2 linked regions of the Anolis sagrei genome follow. The protein of the gene in region 1 interacts with the protein of each later gene in a pairwise test. Links are inferred from orthologs where the notes say so. Each region holds a gene or a part of one and is shown in the gene's direction. Other genes may lie near its edges.

Region 1 (7,410 bases):
ATTATTTATTTATTTACAGCTTTTATATTCCGCCCTTCTCACCCCGCAGGGGACTCAGGGCGGATTACAGTGTACACATATATGGCAAACATTCAATGCCAATTTTGACATACAAACATATACAGACATACACAGAGGCTATTTAACTTTTTCTGGCCGCCAGAGGAGCTGTCACTTTCATCGCCCATCTGCGACGCTGATGAAGTACCTCCGTATTCCTCGCATGCTTCCCCGCTGGAGTGCTTCTTTATAGCCTCATAAATTAGCTAATTTTAGCCTCCCCACATTTTTAAGGTGGTACCTTATTTTCCTACTTGACAGATGCAACTGTCTTTCGGGTTGTAAAGGTCGACAATGGGCTACACAATGGTTGGAAACCCACTCCAACCCGGGCTGGCTTCGAACTGATGACCTTTTGGTCAGAATGATCTTAATGCAGCTGACACTCAGCCAGCTGCGCCACAATCTCTAGTTTAGTTTTCTAGAGATAGCAAATCACAAGTACGTAATAGTGGAGCTCAAGAAACAGAGCCAAAGTTCCAGATCACTGGGGTCTAATGTTTTTGGCACAAAATAGAAATTACTAATTGCTGTAGAGGAGTCTGCTGAACTTTACTCAAAATTGGGTGGTTGTAGGGTTTTTTGGGCTATATGGCCATGTTCTAGAGGCATCCTCTCCTGATGTTTCGCCTGCATCTATGGCAAGCATCCTCAGAGGTTGTGAGGATGCTTGCCATAGATGCAGTTGAAACGTCAGGAGAGAATGCCTCTAGAACATGGCCATATAGGCCAAAAAAACCCCTACAACCACCCAGTGATTTCAGCTATGAAAGCCTTCGACATTACTCAACATTTCTGAGCATTGTATAGGATATTATAGCTACTAACAGCGGCTAACTTCTAATTATGCTTCCACTAACTGAAATTTTATATAGATGTAGAACTATGTATAGTTTCATGTTTTATTTTTTAGATGTAATCTGGATAACAGGATTTGTTGGCCAGTGATCACCATGAAAGACAAAGTGCCAGTGGGGGACTTGTGCAGAAACTTTTTTGACATTTAAAACCTCAATAAGACACAAAGATCCCCAAAATCTGCTGTTCACAAGGTTGATGTGGGGGGGGGGGGGTATTATGGTGGCCACAATTTTGCAGTTCCCTTGCTCCTAAATGGGTTTCTGAGGCTCCTTCTACACTGCCATATAAAATCCAGATTTGAACTGGATTATATGGTAATGTAGACTCATATAATTCAGTTCAAAGCAGATAATATGAATTACTTCATTTGATAATCAGGATTATATGGCAGTGTAGAAGGGACCAGAGATTAAGAAGCTCTCTTAGAATGGCTTCTTGGTGGGAAGAAGCAACTGTAGGACTCTTTCTCTGTACAGATGAAACAATCAAATATTCCTGTATAGCAGGGCCATCTAGGTAAATAAGTAAAGCACGCCCAAAGGCCCTTCCAGTCAGGCCCTATATCTCAGGATCTGAACCCAGGTTTTCTGTTTATCCCAGATTATCTGGCAGTAGGGGATCATATAATTCAGGTTAAAGCAGAAAACCTGGGATCGGATCCTGGGATATAGGGCCTGACTGGAAGGGCCCTAAGAAATGGCCATCCACACCCCGTCTGAACCCCTTCAAAGAAGGGAAGTCCACTAGCCTCTAGTCCCTTCTGCACTGCCATATAACATCCAAATTATCTGCTTTAAACTGAATTATATGGCAGTGAAGGCTCAAATAATCCAGTTCAAAACAGATAATTTGGATGATCTGCTTTGATAATCTGGATTATTTGGCAGTGTAGAAGGGGCCTTGACAAACATATTAGTTATATTTTTATGTGCCTATACATTGTGTGATTATTTGGCTCCCCTAAAATTTTTAATTTTGAGTAAGAAAATAGGTCAATCGCTAGATCCTCCATACACACTAGAAGCAGAAATAAGAGGTTACGTCCAGTGAATCCAATGTAGATAGAAGAGTTGGAGTCTCCAGATGTTTAAATAAAGTTTTTTTTAAAAAAAGATCAGCTTAATGTATTTCACCCAGAAAGTATCCATATAACCCGCCTGTTAAAAGAAGAAAAGGGGGAATAATAATTAAGAGCAAGGGATAAAGTATATAATTATGTTTATGTGTGTGGTATGTGCTTCATGTCAAAATTTCTGGAAAGCACGTAGAATAGGAAATACTGACATCCCTTTGCACAGACTAGAGTTAAGAGTGCAAGACCCCCATGAAAATGGGTAAAACATATATTTAAAACACTTTTGAAAATGTGCTATGGAATTGTGGGAGTTGTAGTTTCACAAGTTTGTTAGCCTTCCCTGCCAAAGATTGTGCTGCCTCACCAAACAACAAATCCCATGATTCTATAGCACTGAACCATAGCAATTAAGGTGGGTTCAAACTGCATTAGTTTTACAGTGTAGTTCAGGCCTGGGCAAACTTTGGCCCTCCAGGTGTTTTGGACTTCAACTCCGGTAGGCTGTTAGGAATTGAAGTTCAAAACACTTAGAGGGCTTAGGTCTATAGCACTGAACCATACCAATTAAAGTGGGGTCAAACTGTATTAATTCCACAATGTATTTCAGGACTGGGCAAACTTTGCCCCTCCAGGTGTTTTGGACTTCAACTCCGGTAGGCTGTTAGGAATTGTGGGAGTCAAAGTCCAAAACACCTGGAGGGGCAAAGTTTGCCCAGGCCTGGTGTAGTTGCACCTCTAGAGATTCGTAGGGAGGACACATTTATCAAATCTGCAAATAATTAAACCTGCAAATGTGGAGGGCTGACTGTAATATATGACACTAGATAGAACTGCACAGATAAAAATGACATGCAGGGACTTATAAAAAGCGTCTTGTCAACTGATCCCCATCAAGTGATTACTCTTTTGAGTAAGAGGCAAGGAATTATATGCTTATCCTGTTATCTCCTGTCTGTAAAGCACAGCCATTTTTAATAATAAGCAGGAATGGAGTTTGGGAAACATAACCTTTAAAACTGATGGGAGTACCGGCCCCAAGTACCTAATCTCTTTCTCTTCTCAATCAAGTCTAGTCAAAACAGAGAAAAGCAACATTCTTAAAAGGAGGAGGCTCCTTATTTGGAGGCTTTTAAACAGAGGCTGGATGGCCATCTCTCGGGGGTGCTTTGAATGCAATATTCCTGCTTCTTGGCAGGGGGTTGGACTGGATGGCCCAAGAGGTCTCTTCCAACTCTAGGATTCTAGGATTCTGTGAATGGTTCCACTCTATATGGTGATCCATCAAAGAGAACACACATTTTTTTTCCAACCAAGGCATTATCCTTATTGCTATTTTTAACATTATAAATGAAGTTTTGTGGTGTGCTGCACTGCCTCCCACTTTTTTCCACGACTTTTTGAAACTCAAAAATTGCAAAACAAAATTGCCTAATGACTTGAAGATGGTCCCCTAGATTACTAAACGCCTCTCAATTAATGCAATCCATTACATAACTTTAACAATAATTAATGATAATTTCACATCTGTCATAATTTATTGCACAAAGCTAAACAGAAGCCAAACTACCGACAAAGTTCATTTAATTTCTACCCTACTTCTAATTAATTACTTTAATTTGTATGTAAATAAAAATAATTATTCATGTCATTATTGAGATAAAATGGCTTCCATTCTTTTTGGGGGGCTGTTGTGAGTTTTCCAGGCTGTATGCTATGTGCCAGAAGCATTCTCTCCTGACATTTCGCCTGCATCTATGGCAGGCACTTGTGCGTTTTCTGGCCTGCATGGCCATGTTCTCCTGACGTTTCGCCTGCATCTATGACTGGTATCCTCAGAGGTCGCCTGCCATAGATGTAGGCGAAAGGGCAGGAGAGAATGCTTCTGGAACATGGCCATACAGCCCGGAAAACTCACAACAACCCAGTGATTCCGGCCATGAAAGCCTTCGACAAAACTGAACTTTCTCCGAGGCCCCAGTTACTCTAGTTTTGCTCTCTAACTGCATTTGCTTGGATTCTTACAATGTGTGCATTCTACGCTGTAGAATTAATGCAGTTTGATAACACTTTAACTAATTGGCTCAGGGCAATGGAATTCTGGGAATTGTAGTTTGGTGAGGTATTCGCACTCATTGGTAGACGCACCCTCTATCTGAACTTTGGTTACGCGCCATCCGCCTTCAGCTTGCACTTCGTTACTTCAGATCACATATTACCCCTTTGCCATACTGACCGTCCACGCCCAAGGCTGCTACAGCGCATGCTCAGTGCCCTTTGACGGGAAACCGCTGTCATGTGCGTCAATTTTCTTTTAGAGCATGCTCACTCGCTTTACCAATTACGAAGTCCCTTTTCCTCATATCCCTGCCTCTGCCACAATCCACGCATGCGCATAAGAAGCTGCCTGAAGCTTAAGCCGTGCCTTCATTGTGCCGGGGAGTTTGAAGTCTCGCGACGATTGGGAAGTCTCGCGCGGGATTGAGGGCGAAATTTAAAAACAGCGGAAGGGAGAGGAGAGAGAAGTTGGTGAGTGGCGCGGTGGTGAGGGCCTCCTCTCTTCCCTTCCCCTCTAGTCATGTATCGCCACTCATCCTATATATTTCTGGGTACTTGTCAATATAATAAGTATGTCCCCCCCCCCTTTTTAGTTTCCTAGTGGCTTCCAAATACACATCAACTTAAGCAGTGAGCATCTTCTTGCTGAGGATATCTCCCCCTCCCGCGAATTTACATTGGCGTGCTCTGGGAAAAGGCTTTTGAAAGTTATCATTATTGTTTAACACAATTATTAGTATTATTCTTGTTATTAGTTCCTATTTACTCTTCTGTTCCGTAAATGGGAGACTACGAATAAAAACGGAGTGCTTTAAGGCCTCTGCTACTTATACCTCTGTCCCCTTGGCTCAATGACAAACCTCATCGTTTATTTGAATAAGCTTAAAACTATGTGCATCCTTATGAAAAACACCCATGGTTATTGGATTTCTGAACATTTCCTGTACCAGTATGCTGCTCACCCAATACATTTTTGCCATGGAGTCTCTGCAGGATTAATAGCAGTGACGGGGGAAAACAATTGCCATGGAGATGATGATGGCAGATACAGGCAGAGAAAAGTGTCTCGTCTCTTATTATCTCAGATACTTTTCTCCCTAGGAACATTCCTTTGTATTCACAAAGCTTACCAACCATCTTGGGAAGGTGTTTTCTAGAAAAGTGAGGAATTCCTTGTGCAGATTCCTCTTCTATCTCGAGTATTGTAAACAGGGTCTTCTAGGTTGTGACACCCAACTATTAGAAGAAGTTCCCCAGAGATATTAACTTGGCACCAACTCTTTACAGAACCAGGGACAAGTGCGTTCATGAGTGCTGCAGATATCCAATGGTTCATGCCCACTAGAACAATGTTTATTTATTTATTTGTCGTGTCAGGGCAATCAGTCAATTATATTACATTTCTAACAGAACAAAGCAAACAAACAGACAAAATACAAAATTTGTGAAGTTTGGCAGTTGATTAAACGTCCTTTGACCAGTATCTGGCCACTTGGAGTGCTTCTGGTGTTGCTGAAAGAAGGTCCTCCATTGCGCATGTGGCAGGGCTCAGGTTGCATTGCAGCAGGTGGTCAGTGGTTTGCTCTTCTCCGCACTCGCATGTCGAGGATTCCACTTTGTAGCCCCATTTCTTAAGATTGGCTCTGCATCTTGTGGTGCCAGAGCGCAGTCTGTTCAGCACCTTCCAAGTCGCCCAGTCCTCTGTGTGCCCAGGGGGGAGTCTCTCATTTGGTATCAGCCATTGCTTGAGGTTCTGGGTTTGAGCCTGCCACTTTTGGACTCTCGCTCGCTGAAGTGTTCCAGCGAGTGTCTCTGTAGATCTTAGAAAACTATTTCTAGATTTAAGTTGTTGACGTGCTGGCTGATACCCAAACAGGGGATGAGCTGGAGATGTCTCTGCCTTGGTCCTTTCACTATTGGCTGCTATTTCCCGGTGGATGTCAGGTGGTGCAATACCGGCTAAGCAGTGTAATTTCTCCAGTGGTGTAGGGCGCAGACACCCCGTGATAATGCGGCATGTCTCATTAAGAGCCACATCCACTGTTTTAGTGTGGTGAGATGTGTTCCACACTGGGCATGCATACTCAGCAGCGGAGTAGCACAGCGCAAGGGCAGATGTCTTCACTGTATCTGGTTGTGATCCCCAGGTTGTGCCAGTCAGCTTTCGTATGATATTGTTTCTAGCACCCACTTTTTGCTTGATGTTCAGGCAGTGCTTCTTGCTGGTAAGAGCACGGTCCAGAGTGACTCCCAGGTATCTGGATGTGCTGCAATGCTCCAGTGGGATTCCTTCCCAGGTGATCTTCAGAGCTCAGGATGCTTCTCTGTTTTTGAGATGAAAGGCACATGTCTGTGTTTTAGATGGGTTGGGGATCAGCTGGTTTTCCCTGTAATAGGCAGTAAGAGCACTTAGAGCTTCGGAAAGCTTCTGTTCTACCATCTCAAAGCTCCCTGCTTGAGCAGTAATGGCATGATCATCAGCATAGATGAAACTCTCTGTCCCTTCTGGCAGTGGCTGGTCATTTGTGTAGATGTTGAACATGGATGGAGCAAGCACGCTCCCCTGAGGCAGGCCGTTCTTCTGTTTCCGTCATCTGCTTCTCTGGCCCTGGAACTCAACAAAAAAGCTCCTGTTTTGTAGCATTTTTCTCAGGAGGAGGCGGTGGTTTACAGTATCATAGGGTTCTGACAGGTCTATGAAGACAGCTCCTGTGATCTGCTGCCTTTCAAAGCCATCTTCTATGTGCTGAGTCAGGTTCAACACTTGCGATGTGCAGCTTTTGCCTTTTCTGAAGCCAGCTTGCTGTGAGATCAGACATGGGTCTATTTTTTCCTTAATTCTATGCAAAATAAGTCTCTCCAGAACTCTGTAGAAGTGGCACAACAGGGAGATTGGTCTGTAGCTTTTTGGGTCATTACAGTCTTTGCCTGGCTTCAAGATGGCGATGATTCTTGCTTTCCTCCAGATTTTGGGGATCTGACAAAATGCAGTGCAGTTGTTCATCAGCTCCAGCAGCCAACACCTTGCTTTTGGACCAAAGATTTGGGAGGATGCCCTTCCCAAAAGATTAGCTTGCCAAATGGTTTACAGAAGGCAAGATCAGCTTTCATCATTGAAGAAAAAGCTTTAATTTCCTGCAATGTATAGCACACTGGACGGTCATTTTAGCAAGTGTTCAATGTGGAATGTTAATTCAATCCATAAATTCTGCCACTCTCAAGGCCAGCTCTGACATTTTGACATGTTGCTCTCCAGAACCTCTTATTGTGCTCTGAAAAAATATTCAGCACACCCAACACTGAATACATGAGCCCACTAGCTCTAACAGACAAGAGTTCTTTCTCTCACCCTGGACTTT
Region 2 (7,512 bases), on another chromosome or scaffold:
ACTCAAAAAAACATAACAACTGTTGCAGTAGGGCAACCATTTACCAGGATTCCATGAGATCCGTGGAGAAGGAAGAAGACAGAGACAGCTTAGCAAGTTTCCAGTATTTATTCTTACCCGGGTAAGGGTGCTCAGTTTCCCCAAAATGGCTGATGAAGCACAAAGCTCTGTCCAAGTTAGCCCAGTATTTATAGATAGAATTACCAGTTTGCACATGCGTATACCAACTCTGCCACGTACACAATACATAATCATTAACAGAATTCTTATATAAGAACACTTTTGGCAAATCATCACGACCCCAAATATTTTTCTTTCCATCAACCTTTAGCCTTATCCCCAGATGACATGTTCCTAATTTTCTTAGATCTTAAAATGAATCATAACTTCATATATATATATATATGTTTTTAACATAAAACTTATTCAAAGTAATTTCCTTATTAATTCTTCGGTAATTATTTTCATAATATCTTGTTTTTCCTGGAATTGGTCATTTTATAGAATGTGTCTGAAATTACCTGCTATTTACATCAAATAGACAGGAGATGGCGCTCTCTTACTATATGACCTTAGATGTTCCAGTCTTGGATCAATAATATCGATCTGGCCTTCTATGTTTAGCCTAAAGTCAACCTTCGGCTTCCTCAAATATTTGTTTATGGAACAAGCCACCCCGACCTCTTATTGATTCATACCGTCTGCTGATTTTCCCTTACTCTAAAAATCTCTTTTTAATCGCCAGAATTAAGGTAGGACCTTCTGTTTCTTAAATTCATTTAAATTATAATTATTTTCTCCCTAATGACTGCCACACAACAAACTCACAATTACACAACCAAACGGAGCATGCGCAGAGGAGTCCCGGCGCGAGTCGCCCGGTGCGCGCACATGGCCGCACCACGCCCCCTCCGTGCAAGCCATGCTTCCTCCCATCACTGCCCTGCCCCTTCCCCCATGCCAAACCGAGCGCGGCCTAGGCACCGACGCTGAAGCCCCAGCCTGGGAGTGGGAGCTCGCCCGCCTGTGCACGCTGGGGGCCGGCCTGGTGCACGTGCGGCACGGGGGGCTGTCCACCTTCCACGGGCCCGGACAGCTGGTGGCCTTCCCGAGGCGGGACCAGTGGAGGCTGACCGGGAGGCCCCCGCTGCGCACCTTCGTGGCCCTCCTGGGAGAGGCCGCGACCCGCCTCTCCCAAGGACAGCCCTTCGGCCTCCGCCACACCCGGCCCAGGCCGCCACCGGACACCGGCGTCTGGCTCCAGGGAAGGAAGGAAGGACGCCGCCATCGGGCACGATGAGGAACAGGAAGGAGGGAAGGAAGCGGGTGAGGGAAGGATGGACGGAAATGAGGGGAAGGGGTGTAAATAGGAAGGAAGGGAGGAAGGGAGGAAAGAAAAAAGAAGAAAAGTGGGAAGGGGAAGGGAAGGTGTAGGAAGGAAGGAAGGAAGAAAAGAAGGAAAGAAAGAAGAAAAGTGGGAAGGGAAGGTGTAGGAAGGAAGGAAGGGATATCAGAGAAGAAAGGTAGGAAATAAACAAACGGAGGGAAGGGGAAGGGAAGGTGTAGGAAGGAAGGAAAGAAGAAAAGAAGGAAAGAAAGAAGAAAAGTGGGAAGGGGAAGGGAAGGTGTAGGTAGGAAGGAAGGAAGGAAGGAAGACAGGGATATCAGAGAAGAAAGGTAGGAAATAAACAAAAGGAGGGAAGGGGAAGGGAAGGTGTATGAAAAAAAGGAAGGAAGGAGAAGTTGAGAAAGTATATGAGGGAAGAAAGGTAGGAAAGAAAGAAGGAAGAGAGAGTAGGAGCATGGGAAAGGAGGGAGGAAGGAAGGAAGGAAGAAGAAAGGTGTGGAAGGGAAGGTGTAGGAACGAAAGGAAGGAAGGAAAAAAGGACAGAAGAAAAGGGAAGGGAGGAAAGAAAGCAAATGAAGAAGAGAAAGGGAGGGAAGGAAGGAAAGAAAAGGAAGTATGGAACTACAGAACGAAGGAAGGAAGGAAAAAGAAAGAGGGAGGAAAGGAGACAGAGGAAGGAAAAGAAAAAGGGAGGAGGAAGGAAAGAGGTACAGAAGGAAGGAGGAGAGAAGGAAAGAAAAAAAGGGAAGGGAGGAAAGACGCAGCAAAGGAAAAAGAGAAAGAAGGAGAAGGAAGGATGAAAGCAAACAGCTAAGGAAGGAAGTAAACAGGTAGAGAAGGAAGAAAGGAAAGAAGAACAGGAAGGAGTGAAAGAGGCAGAGAAAGAGGGAGAGAAGCCTGGCCACAGCAACGCATGGCGGGTAAAGCTAGTCTATCTATCTATCTATAAAATGCTCTGTGCATAATGAGTACCTTAAAAACCAAAGAACCGATGAACAAAATCACACCAAATTTGGTAACAGAACGTCTCACAACACAAGGAGTGACCATCACTCAAAAATTATGATTTTGTCATTTGGGAGTTGTCGTTGCTGGGATTTATAGTTCACCTACAATCAAAGAGCATTCTGAACTCCATCAACGATGGAATTGAACTAAACTTGGCACACAGGACTCCCGTGACCCAACAGAAAATACTAGCAGCATTTGGTGGGCATTGACCTTGTGTTTGGGAGTTATAGTTCACCTACATGCAGAGAGCACTGTGGACTCAAACAATAATGGATCTGGACCAAACTTGCCACAAATATTCCATATGCCCAAATATGAACACAGATGGAGTTTGGGGAAAATAGACCTTGACATTTGGGAGTCGTAGTTACTGGGATTTATAGTTCATCTACAATCAAAGAGCATTCTGAACCCCACCAATGATGGAACTGAACCAAACTTGGCACACAGTTCTCCCATGACCAACAGAAAATAGTGGAAGGGTTTGGTGGGCAGTGTCCTTTGGTTTTGGATTTGTAGTTCACCTGCGTCCAGAGATCACTGTGCACTCAAACAGTGATGGATCTGGACCAAACTTGGCAACAAATCTTCCAGTATGAACACAATTGGAGTTTGGGGAAAATAGAATCTTGACATTTGGGAGTTGCAGTTGCTGGCATTTATAGTTCACCTACAATCACAGAGCATTCTGATTTCCAGCGATGATGGAACTGAACCAAATTTATTTATTTTTATTTATTTATTTACTGCACTTGTAGACCACCGTTCTCAGCCCTAGGGTGACTCACGGCGGTGTACAACATGTAAAAACAGGTACAATTTACAACACAAGCAATATCACAACAACATTAAACAACATCACTATCAATACTACAATTACACTAAATCATTCGCGACGTCTCATTGTTGAATCACAATCCAAATCTCGTTATCCATGTTCCATTCCAATCGTCATTGCCAGTTATTGCAGCACTTACTCAAACGCCTTCTCAAACAACCACGTCTTTAGTCTCTTGCGGAATGTCATAAGGGAGGGCGCCCGTCTGATGTCTACAGGGAGGGCGTTCCACAGCCGGGGGGCCACCACCGAGAAGGCCCTGTCCCTCGTCCCCGCCAGGCGTGCCTGTGAGGCAGGCGGGATCGAGAGAAGGGCCTCCCCGGACGATCTCAAAGTCCTTGTGGGCTCATAGGCCGAGATGCGGTCAGACAGGTATTTTGGGCCGGAACCGTTTAGGGCTTTGTAGGCCAACACCAGCACCTTGAATTGGGCCCGGTAGCAGATCGGCAGCCAATGGAGCTGGAATAACAAGGGCGTTGTGTGCTCCCTGTGTCCCGCTCCTGTTAGTAACATGGCTGCCGCGCGCTGGACTAGCTGGAGCTTCCGGGCCGTCTTCAAGGGCAGCCCCATGTAGAGAGCGTTGCAGTAGTCAAGGCGGAATGTGACCAGAGCGTGTACCACCGTGGCCAAGTCAGACTTCCCGAGGTACGGGCGCAGCTGGCGCACGAGCCTAAGCTGTGCAAATGCTCCCCTGGTCACCGCTGACACCTGGGGATCCAGGCTCAACGATGAATCCAAACTTGGCACACAGTTCTCTCATGACCAACAGAAAATACTGGAAGGGTTTGGTGAACATTGACCTTGAGTTTGGGAGTTGTAGTTCACCTACATCCAGAGAGCAGATCCAGTGATGGATCTGGACACAAACAATGATGGATCTGGACCAAACTCCACACGAATACTCAATATGCCCAAATGTGAACACTGGTGGAGTTTGGGGAAAACAGAATCTTGACATTTGGGAGTTGTAGTTGCTGGGATTTATAGTTCACCTACAACCACAGAGCATTCTGAAGCCCACCAATGATAGAATTGGGCCAAACCTCCCACACAGAACCCCCATGTGGGCCATAGCAACACGTGGCAGGGGACGGCTAGAAATAATATGATAAAGTCTCTTCTGAAGGCATCTGGTTGAGAAGAAGCAGAAGCAACTGCAACGGGCAGGGTTAGAGGCCTCCCTGCCGAGTGGCAGGCTGGGAGTCGTAGTCTTTTTGGGGATCCTTGGCGCTTGTATTCAGAAGCACCAAACTCTGCAGAAAGACTACGACTCCCAGCCTGCCACGCGGCAGGGAGGCCTCTAACCCGGCGTGGCAAGCGCGCGCCGCCTCCTAGAAACCGTTGCCGAGCAACCGCTGGGCCCTTAGCAACGTGGCCGTTTAGAAGGCCTTCCTCGATTGAGAAGCCATGCCGGTTTGGGTGCGCGATTACAGCTGGGAGCAGACGGAGGAAGCGGTGTATTTGAGGGTCCAGGTGCGGAAGGAAGGCCGCCTCCGAGGCTCCGACGTCTTCTGCTCCGGACAGTGCCTGAAGGTCAGGGACAAGGCCAGGAAATACAGAATTGTACATAAATAATCATTAAAAATACAAATGAATCTTAAATCTTAATAATAAATATATAAATAATAGTAAATAGTAATAATAGTAAATTACTGATGTTATAAATAAGAATGAATAACAAATAATAGTAAAATGTAAATCATAACTATAACAACACATAATAAATATTTATTATTAATCGTTTATTATTAAGATTTAAGATTTATTTTTATTAATTATGATTTAGTATTTTTATTATTTGTTATTATAGTTATTCATTCTTATTTATATTTGTTTATAATTATTTTTATTAATTATTATTTACTATTTTTATAAATATAAATAAGAATGAATAACTATAATAACAAATAATAAAAATACTAAATCATAATTAATAAAAATAAATCTTAAATCTTAATAATAAATGATTAATAATAAATATAAATAATATTTATTATGTGTTATTATAGTTATGATTTACTATTTACTATTATTTGTTATTCATTATTATTTATAATAACAGTAATTTACTATTATTATTTATTATTCTTTACTATTATTTATATTATTAAGATTTAAGATTTATTATTATTAATTATTAAGTATTTTATTATTTGTTATTTGCTATTTACTATTATTATTTGTTATTAATTATTATTTATAATAACAGTAATTTACTATTATTATTTATTATTAATAAATAATAGTAAATAATAGTAAATAATAAGTTTGGTCGTGTCAGGAGCGACTTGAGAAACTGCAAGTCGCTTCTGGTGTGAGAGAATTGGCCGTCTGCAAGGACGTTGCCCAGGGGACATTGCCCGGATGATTTGATATTTTTATCATCCTTGTGGGAGGCTTCTCTGATGTCCCTGCATGAGGAGCTGGAGCTGATAGAGGGAGCTCATCTGCCTCTCCCGGGATTCGAATCTGCGACCTGTCAGTCTTCAGTCCTGCCGGCACAGGGGTTTAACCCACTGCGCCACTGGAGGCTCCATAATAATAAGTAATAATAATAGTAAATTACTGTTATTATAAATAATAATGAATAACAAATAATAATTAATAGTAAATAATAACTGTAATAACAAATAATAAAAATAGTAAATCATAATTAATAATGATAAATCTTAAATCTTAATAATAAATGATAAATGATAAATATAAATAATAGTAAATAAATAATAATAATAGTAAATTACTGTTATTATAAATAATAATGAATAACAAATAATAAAAAATAGTAAATAGTAAATCATAACTATAATAACAAATAATAAAAAATAGTAAATAATAATAATAAATCTTAATAAATGATAAATAATAAATATAAATAATAGTAAATAATAAATAAAAATAATAGTAAATTACTGTTATTATAAATAATAATGAATAACAAATAATAATTAATAGTAAATCATAACCATAACTATAACAACAAATAATAAAAATGCTAAATAATTAATAATAATAAATCTTAAATCTTAATAATAACTGGAACTAGTAAGTATAAATAATAGTAAATAAATAATAATAGTAAATTACTGTTATTATCAATAATAATGAATAACAAATAATAATAAATAGTAAATCATAACTATAATAACAAATAATAAAAATACTAAATAATAATTAATAATAATAAATCTTAAATCTGAATAAGAAATGATAAATAATAAATATAAATAATAGTAAATAATAATAAATAACAAAAATAATAGCAAATTACTGTTATTATCAATAATAATGAATAACAAGTAATAATAAATAGTAAATCATAAATCATAACTATAATAACAAATAATAAAAATAGTAAATAATAATTAACAATAATAAGTAAAATTAATTAATTAATTCAGATTCGCTGGAGCGCAGAGGCGGCAGGAGCCTTCTGATTGGCTCTGGCGCACTGCAGAAGCACTGTGATAGGTCCAGACGCGCGGGGGACGGCCAAGCTTCCTCCCAGCTGTTTGCGCACCAGCCAATCATCTTCGAGCCAGGCGGGAAGCGGGAGATTTGAAACTCACAACTCTGTATTTTCTATAAAAATGGCTCTAGGTGAGCTCTCCTCTGCCTCTATGGGGAGGAAGGTGGGATAGAAATAAAGTCAATAAATAGTATAATATAATGATGAGGATGATGATGATGGATGTCTCCCCAGGTGAGCTCCCCTCCGTTCCTCTTCGAGGTCCTTCTCTGGGCTCCCATCGATGATGTGCGAAGCACCGCCAGGGTGGAGGAGGGCTGCGTCTCCTTCACTCTCTACAAACAGGAGCCCTGCCTTTGGGAGTCCCTTTTCATGGAGGGAGGTGAGATCCTGAGCCTTTCATTTCATTTATGCATTTGGCCCTAAAGGGCGTTCCAGAGATAGGGGGCCACCACTGAGAAGGCCCTCTCTCTCGTCCCCACCAACCGCACTTGAGACGGTAATGGGACCGAGAGGAGGGCCTCCCCGGAAGATCTTACAGCTCGTGCCAGTTCATAGAAGGAGATGCGATTGCGGAGATAGGCGGGGCTCGAACCTTTTCGGGCTTTATAGGTCATGACCTGCACCTTGAATTTGGCTCAGCAACTTATCGGCAGCCAATAAAGCTGTTTTAATAGGGGTGTTGTATGATCCCTATAGTTCAGCTGCCCCCTGTTGCAGCAGTTCAAACTTCCAGGCCATCTTCAAGGGCAGCCCCACGTAGAGTGCATTGCAGTAGTCCAGTTTGGATGTAACCAAGGCGTGGACCACCCTGGTCAAGTCAGACTTCACGAGGTATGGTCGCAGCTG

Evidence for each region. The genes of interacting proteins can lie anywhere in the genome.
Region 2: the proteins of SPDL1 (region 1) and DNAAF4 interact in binary tests that used the Homo sapiens proteins (3 or more experiments, as listed by UniProt). The two-hybrid records come from large-scale screens. The link is inferred for Anolis sagrei from reciprocal best matches to the Homo sapiens genes SPDL1 and DNAAF4.

The regions. Positions count from the first base shown.
Region 1 is NC_090022.1:104,866,036-104,873,445, reverse strand, and holds the start of SPDL1 (protein Spindly), read left to right. Parts: upstream 1-4,397; 5' UTR 4,398-4,522; intron 4,523-7,410. UniProt on the Homo sapiens protein: Required for the localization of dynein and dynactin to the mitotic kintochore.
Region 2 is NC_090029.1:1,583,347-1,590,858, forward strand, and holds the start of DNAAF4 (dynein axonemal assembly factor 4), read left to right. Parts: upstream 1-4,498; 5' UTR 4,499-4,604; coding exon 4,605-4,730; intron 4,731-6,897; coding exon 6,898-7,045; intron 7,046-7,512.